2 linked regions of the Rattus norvegicus genome follow. The protein of the gene in region 2 interacts with the protein of the main gene of each other region in a pairwise test. Links are inferred from orthologs where the notes say so. Each region holds a gene or a part of one and is shown on either strand. Other genes may lie near its edges.

Evidence for each region.
Region 1: the proteins of Ccnc (region 2) and Nmnat1 interact in binary tests that used the Homo sapiens proteins (3 or more experiments, as listed by UniProt). The two-hybrid records come from large-scale screens. The link is inferred for Rattus norvegicus from reciprocal best matches to the Homo sapiens genes CCNC and NMNAT1.

The regions. Positions count from the first base shown.
Region 1 is NC_086023.1:165,208,371-165,212,666, forward strand, and holds the start of Nmnat1 (nicotinamide/nicotinic acid mononucleotide adenylyltransferase 1), read right to left. Parts: upstream 2,844-4,296; 5' UTR 2,804-2,843; exon of another isoform or gene 2,699-2,803; intron 2,504-2,698; exon of another isoform or gene 2,356-2,503; coding exon of another isoform or gene 2,331-2,355; intron 1,192-2,330; exon of another isoform or gene 1,092-1,191; coding exon of another isoform or gene 1,055-1,091; intron 1-1,054.
Region 2 is NC_086023.1:40,066,641-40,070,287, reverse strand, and holds part of Ccnc (cyclin-C), read right to left. Parts: intron 2,921-3,647; coding exon 2,836-2,920; intron 2,655-2,835; coding exon 2,585-2,654; intron 1,130-2,584; exon of another isoform or gene 1,080-1,129; intron 1-1,079. UniProt on the Homo sapiens protein: Component of the Mediator complex, a coactivator involved in regulated gene transcription of nearly all RNA polymerase II-dependent genes.

The sequences.
Region 1 (4,296 bases), about 130 Mb from region 2:
CAGGTCAGATGCTTGCACACCCCTCAAGCGAAGACATGGCATGACCTCGGTTTATGTAAGGAGCCCCAGCTCCTCTTACTGCAGAACTCTCAGAGACAGAGTGTTAGAGAGGGGAAAGGAGGCTTTGGATGGGATAGAAAGAGGTTTCCTGGGATGCAGCCCGTGGGGAGTGCTGGCCCAGCACAGCAGAGTCCTGCGCTCAGACACCAGCACTGCCTATGCCCAGGTGGTGGCACCCAGGCTGGTAATCCCAGATACTCCAGAGGAGGAAGCAGGAGGAGGATCAGGAGTTCAACCTGTTCCCGGCCCACCTGAGAAACATGAGACTCTAACACTCAGGAGGCAGAGATGGAGACAGGTGGTTTCCTGTGAGTCAGAGGCTAGCCCAATGAGTTCTAGGAACTATGTAAGAGAGAGACCCTGTGTCACAAATCTTCCACAGCAGCAGTAGTTAGCTGCATAGGACTTGCACAGGACTGGGCCACTCAACATTCCATCATCATGTGTAGAGGAGGGGCTCATAAGGCCACCCCCCCCAGGTGTTCCATATAGGCAGTTAATGGTTGCTAGAGAGGGAGTCAGATTTCACGTTGGTTTTAGGCACTGGAAAGGTGCTCTTGCTCACCTGCCCCCTCCCCCCACTTATGCAGGCAACATTAATTAAAGCCTCTGAGCCACAAAGAAAACAAAGTCATGGAAGTAGGACAGGATATCTTCGGAAGAAAGGTTTTCATGGGGAAGGGGAATAAGAGAGTACTGCAGGGAAACACCATCAACAAACATTTATATATGCGGTCCTTGTTTGTCTAAGCTTTTAGGAATAAGTTTTTAAAAGCATCCTTCTTGCCTGAGTTCTGCTCTACCTTATTAGATTCTGTGCTCTGTCCTGCAGTGCTTTTCTCTGGCATGGGGCTCATCTGGCTGTCCAAAGTGACCTGCCCAAGGTCAGATGCTAAGCCAACAGTCTGAAGCTTGCCTGTGGGTCCTGCTGGTCTCATGCCTCATTTACACGCCTGGGCTGACTGAGTCTGCCCCAGCAGCACCCGCCACATACCGTCAAGCATCTCAGAAGATGATCTCCTAGCTGCCATTTCTACATGAAATGTCAGCTGCACACCTTGGCCACATAGGAAGCAGGCCAAAACCAGCCATCATGGAAGAAAGTTTCATACCGAGCGAGGAAGTGAGCTGGTCAACTGCTACCACAGGCTCTCCATTACAAACAAATTCATCTGAAGGAAGAGTGAGGATTTACACAGTACTGTCGAGATTGTTATATTGACTTTCTATAAGCCTCAGTTCCTAGAAACCAGGGACGTTAGTATCTGAGTGGACGAAAGCTGCCGAAGTGGGCATAGTCAAAAGAAATCACTTATCTCAGCCAAGTGAAGTTTCACATGGAAACAGTGGTTGAGACCTTACATTCAACAAGATCAATGTATCCATTCTTTGCATTGTGGAGATTTTTGGATAAGGAGAATCTCTTTGTGGGTTACAACAGTCTTCCGTATTACTACAGCCAATTATTTTGTAGAACACATAAGTTGACCTAAGTGAGTCTGAGCCTCCCTCGGCTGCTGTGACACAACACTCTGACCAAAAGCAATTGGGGAGGAAAAGTTCTTTTGCCCTTTACTTCCAGGTCAATCCATCACTGACGGAATTGGGGCACCAGCTCTAGGAGAAACATGAAGCAGACAGTACTGAGGAATGCTGCCTCCTGGCTTGAACTCACTCTGTAGACCAGTCTGGCCCTGAACTCACAGATATCATCCTGCCTCTGCCTCTATAGTGCCAATGCCCAGTACCCAGCAAACTAATACAGCCCAGGACCACCTGCCAGGAATAGTGTCGCCCAGTGGGCTGGGCCCTCCTCTAACAATTTACAGGACAGCCTTACACAGACATGGCCACAGATCTGGACAATTCTTCAATCAAGGTTTTCCTTTCAGATGACTCTAGGCTATGACAGTTAGCAGTTAAAAGTAATCTATGAACTCTTAGCCCCATCCCCACCCCCACCCCATCTTTAACCTCACAAAGGCATCTCGATAAGCTATAACCTTTCAATCCCTTGTCTCCAAAGTCTCCTGTTAACATTGTAATATCAAGCATAAGCCAACTTTCAAATTCTCAGTCTTTAAAAATTTCAACTTTTAAAAGTTCTGAGTCTCAAAGTCCAAGTCTTTTAGTCATGAGCTCCTGTAAAATACAAAATAAGTTTCAGACTTTCTAATCCCAAATGGGAAAAACCAGAGAATAGGAATGATCCCAACAAAGCAAACCCAGAATCCAACAGTGTAATTCAATATCCGATATTTGGGACTCACGATCTGGGTTCCAAAGAGCTGGCATAGCCCTATCTCCACTCAGTTCCCTGGCAACTCAGTACAGTCCACTCAGCAGCTACTTTCCTAGTTCTCAAAGGCTGTGTGCGCATGCTCTTTCCCAAATTTGGAAATGATTAAGAGGTAAAGTCTGTCTCAATGCCGGCTTTCCCACATTGCCTCTCACTTCCCTTTAAGTTCATGGGCGCCTGCTCTCCAGAAGCCTCTAGACAGGAAAACCCCATGCCACTCCAAAGGGTGAACTGACCTGCATCAAAGTCACTGGAAATTTTACCAACTTTTTGGTTCCAAGAACTAAAGGGCAAGAGTTGACTATGAAGACCTGGCCCCGGGGACCGTTACGAAGGTCTCTATAGGTCCAGCCATTGTGCATTCTCCCTTGCTTGACAAAATACGGGGCGTCGGGCTAACGGTCCCAAAGGTGCGTCTCCTAGGTCCTTGGGTTGGGTGCTTACCAGGCCGTGAAGGCCAAACGGCCCTAGTCCTCCAGGAGACAACCTCGGCCCGGACGCCAGCGCAGGGAACACCGAAGCGGCGCTCTCATTGGTCCCACGAAGCCGGAAGTGCGCGAGTCCAGCGGAAGTGCTCGCTCCATGTGGTCCGCCCGGCCAGGGCGTCAGGTAGGCGGGGCTCCTGGTTCCAAATTCTGGGATCTGTTAGCCGGCGGCCGGCGGGGACGCCATAGCAGAAGGAGGTTGTCCTGTTTCTCATCAGGGAGGACCGAGAAGCGTTTCGCAGGCGTAGGACTCCCCGCCACCTCAGGTGACCACTGGGCCTGCTGGAGCCCGGCCTTGGCGGGACCTGCAGACCGGAGCTTGGAGTTCGTCCGCGAGGAGGAGACTGGCGCCCGAGCGTGGCAGTTTATTTTTGTTCCGGTGGTCCTGGGCCGAGCGCTGCTCCCTTCCGTCCCCGAGAAGGTGTGCTTTCTGCCCTTGCCTGTTCGTGCTTCTGTGACAGTTTTCCTCAAGCCGTGCCCTGAGTGCAGTGTGCTTTGGCCTCACCCAGAGGAAACCTCAGCAAAAGCTACAGGAGGCACAGTCCAGGGATTCTGTGGCCTCTCCTGCACCTTCCTAGGAATGGAGAATGTATTTTAATTACAGTCTGCTTAAAGGGAAGTTTTCTGGACTCAGTAGGCCAAGTTCAGACATAGCAAATAAAACGGTAACAGTTTACCTTGTTCTAGCCAACTCCACCCCTAGGAGGTTTGAAGTTTGAGCCTCCTGTAAACTCTATAACAGCTTCGCTTTCCTCAAATTGATGACACCCAGAGCTCCAACAGTTGGCGATTTGTACAATTTGAGACCCATCAGCTCCGTACACAGTACAGAATACTAGAAGCCCGGTGAGCGTGAATAAATATTTACCACTCCAGATGACAACTGGCCCTTTTCAGCAGTCTCAAAGGAAATGCATCACTTCTGTTCAGTACTAGGTGGTGCCAGTGAGTTAAATCTTTCTGGCCTAAATCTGTAGTGTGTGGTTAAAGGGTTTGTCTTGGTTTTGTTAACAAGTCTCCATATTTCCTTAATTTATTCAGAATAACTTTGCTTTTTGAGACTTTGCGGCTTGGGAGTGTGTCCTGGTAATAGTGCTTATGTAGTACTCTGGTCCTTCCCTTTCCCCCCAAGAAGAGATAGGTAGATTTTCTGTTAAACAGTAATAACTCCCTGTGCAGGGGATTTATCTTAATGGTAGAGTGCTTGCTTAGGAATGAGGTTCTGGATTCAATCCCCTGTTCTGGGGAAAAAAAAAAAAAGTCTGGGCATGTTGGCACATACCTGTAATGCTAGAAATCCTAGATGTAATATATTATTTTCATTTTATATTTTTTTGAAAGTTACTTTTTTAAAAATTTTTTATTTATTTTATGTATATGAGTCACTGTAAGCTGTCTTCAGACACACCAGAAGAGGTTTTGGATTGCATTACAGATGGTTGTGAGCCACCA
Region 2 (3,647 bases):
AAGCTTTCTAAACCATTTTACTTCCTTTCAAAGTAGAACAAGCAAGAACTGGTCTCTTATTTAGCAAATTAAAACTATCCAAATATCTTCTATTAAAAATATGTAATCTGGGGTTGGGGATTTAGCTCAGTGGTAGAGCGCTTGCCTAGGAAGCGCAAGGCCCTGGGTTCGGTCCCCAGCTCTGAAAAAAAGAACCAAAAAAAAAAAAAAAAAAAAACAAAAACGTAATCTATAACTTTATGTGCGCACATATATTTATATTTAACCTTCAAAACCCAATAATTAAAACTAAAAACTCAAAACTGAAGATAGTATGTTAAACATGATTTTGCCCACAATTTCTAATCAATTAGACAAAACAGAAAGATTTGGTTAGAGTTAAAATGTAATGCAACATACTGAGAGGGTAAATGAAAATGCTACCTGGAATTGATACCTACTGGCAAAGGTCCAATGGAGTGACCCTAGTCAAATCAACACACTCTAAAGCAGTCCCCAGGCCCAGGAATAGTTGGACAACACAAAATTAACTACATGGCTTTTGTCCTTGGTTGCTTGATTTTTTTTTTTTTTTGAAGGCTTTTTTGTTTCTTACTGGCTTTGTTTCGATATTTGTCTTATGTTTTTTGTTTTAGTTTTTGCTTTGTTTGAGACACAGAAAATGAACACTAAGCTGGGTGAGTAGGGAAAAGGATCTGCGAGAAGCTAGGGTAGGGGAGAAAACATGGTCAAAATACATTGTATAAAAAAAAACTTTAAGAAAAAGTAACTCAACAACCACAACTAAAAATACACCTCATCTACAAGACCTCTTTATTCAAAAAGACATTCGATACACATCTGGTCCTCAGGACTGAAACCAGGCCTCATGGGAACTAGGTAAACACTATAACTGACTTGTTTATAGACTGACTTATAACTAGATTTATTCAAACTTTATCTCTCTCATGGACAGAGTTAACTTAGGTTCCTAGAAAGGGTTTTAGTATTCTAATATATTCAATTCTGCATACTTAAGAGATAATCAAGATGTCATGAATGTTTCTAAGATAAAATGAACACAAAAGAAACAAACTTACTGGTTAAAGTCATTCAATTCACATGGATACAATTATCCTAAAGACATTACCTAAGAACAGAAACAATAGACTAGGAATTGTGTGGATTAGCTAAGAAAAAAGCCAGTTCTCAGAATCTGCTACTATTTGGGCTTTAGGGGGTAGTTACACTTTCTCAATAATATTGCAAACAGTAAGTTGAGCAGAAATGCAGTTCCCAGTCCAAGTCCTTCTCTGTCTTCTCTTACTTACCTTTTCTGCTCTCACTATCCACACTTCCTTGCTGGAGTCTATAAAGTCTTTTCTACCTTTTTGCTCTCCCACAGTGGCTTGTTACCAGAGAAGTCAGGTGTAAACAAAAAGCATGTGGGTGAGGAGCAGAGACATTCTCAGGCCATAGTAGATAAGCTGTGCTACCTCCTTTGTTTTCTTTCTTTCTTTTTCTTTTTTCTTTTCTTTTTTTTTTTTTTTTTTTTTTTTTTTTTTGGTTGTTTTAAGACTGGGTCTTACTACAAACCTCTGGCTATCTTGGAACTTAGAATTCACTGTGGTTCAAGCTGGCCTTGAATACATAGAGATCCACCTGCCTCTGCCTCCCAGGTGCTGGGATTAAAGGCATGCACCACCACACTCAGATAAATAGTCTTTTAAAGACAGCAAGCAATTAAGTTACAGGATGAAGATCTAGACTATTGGAACCACTGACCCAGTATACGAACACTGCTCTCTCTATGCCCTAGTTTCCTCATTTCTAAAATGACAATTGTAAATGCTACAGTTCTGAGGGGATTCCTTTCCCCAGTGTTGCATCTCTGAAGGAAAGGCATCTTCCCAGTCAGGAGCCAAGGAATACCACAAAGTCACACTGCACAACAAAGTTCACATAAAGACTTATTGGGAATGACAAGAGAAGGTGTTTGCAACCCTGCTTGGGTAAGGAGGAGAAGCAGCAGAAACCTAAGAAGGTAGGCTGTATTTGAGGGTGGGGGGCAGGATTGTTTTCCAGGGTAGCATGGGCCTGATCTTGGGGCAAACTCAGGGACTGGAAGGATTCTTTTTCTTGGCCTTGGTTTCTTGCTTGGGCTCAAGTCAAGGTGTTCTTTCCCTGGCCCTGATCTCAGGGTCAAACCAGGGTCAGGGTCTTTGGTCCTTTGACCCCACATGGATACTACTGCCATATACTCCAGAGTTACAGGATTGAATTAGAACTTGCAAAGGAATAGAGATGTAAATAAGAAATACCCAAGTTAATAAAGATGAAAAAAAAAAGAAAAAAAAAGAACTTGCAAAGGGCTCATTAAATCATCTGATACATAAAATATTTATTAAAAAAATAAAAACATTTTCAAGATGTGCATATTAGTTCCTATAAACTATCATAGGATAACTATGATTAACCATACAAAAGCAATATCTATCTATCTATCTATTTATCTATCTATTTATCTATCTATCTATCTATCTATCTATCTATGATAAACCAGACATATCAATATTTTCATGAAGAACAGAAAATTGTTTTATACCTCTACTTTGGATGCCAGAAACACACATGTAGGAGCCATTAATACAGGATCTATACTTTTCAGAGAATACCTAAAATATGATTAGACAAGAGTTAAATGATGACTATTTAGAAAACACACTGGGGTGGGGGTGGACTTTGGGAATCATAATTCTACAGTAAACAAGTGATTTACTTATTTTATATATTGTACATGGAAATTAGAAAAGAATTCCAACCAGGCATTAAAAATAATAAATAAAACAACCATACCTGGCATAGAATCTCTTGAAATAGACTGTAGCAGTAGCAATAACTTGTTGTCTTAATTTAAGATGTTCCCCTAATGCTTGGATAACTAAAAAAAGAATACGTTTAAATGTACCATCTGTCATCAGTATACCAACACTAATAACCTTAAGTTTTATTAGTGATTTCTACGTTGCAATCATGACCATTTCACATCTAGGCACACTCTGACACCCTCTGAACTCCAGTAGTCTAAGACTTACAAATGCAGCAATATTCATAAACAATAAGAGAAACTGCCTGCAATTTATCCTTGCAATATAAGCAGGCTGAGTATCAAATATTCTTTCTTTACTACATATTTTAATGCTTTTCATAATAGCTATAGAGTAGCTTAAAAATTAAGACAGATATTGTTATTTACCAAGAAATCCATAGTTAATCTTTGATATAAGGACAAGGTAGGATTGCAGAGAATAACGGAATTAAAGCTAGGTGACAGGATGGGGAGATGGCTCAGGAGTCAAGAGCATAAGACCTGGGTTCCATTCTTAACACCTACATGGTGGCTCATAGTCCTCTGTAACTCCGTCAGGAGATCCTAACTTCCTCAGCATCAGGCACAGCAGATAACTGCCCAGATACCGGCAAAGTGCAAATCACATAAGATAAATACAATAAACAAACAACACAAACAAACAAAAGAACAGGCAGCAAAGCTATCCCAGACACAGTAAAGGGCTCTTGATTAAATCTCCTTCTTGCTAATGCAAAGTTATAAGGCAAAATGACAACAATAGGATGCTAATTTAAAGGATCATTTATTAAAGTATTTT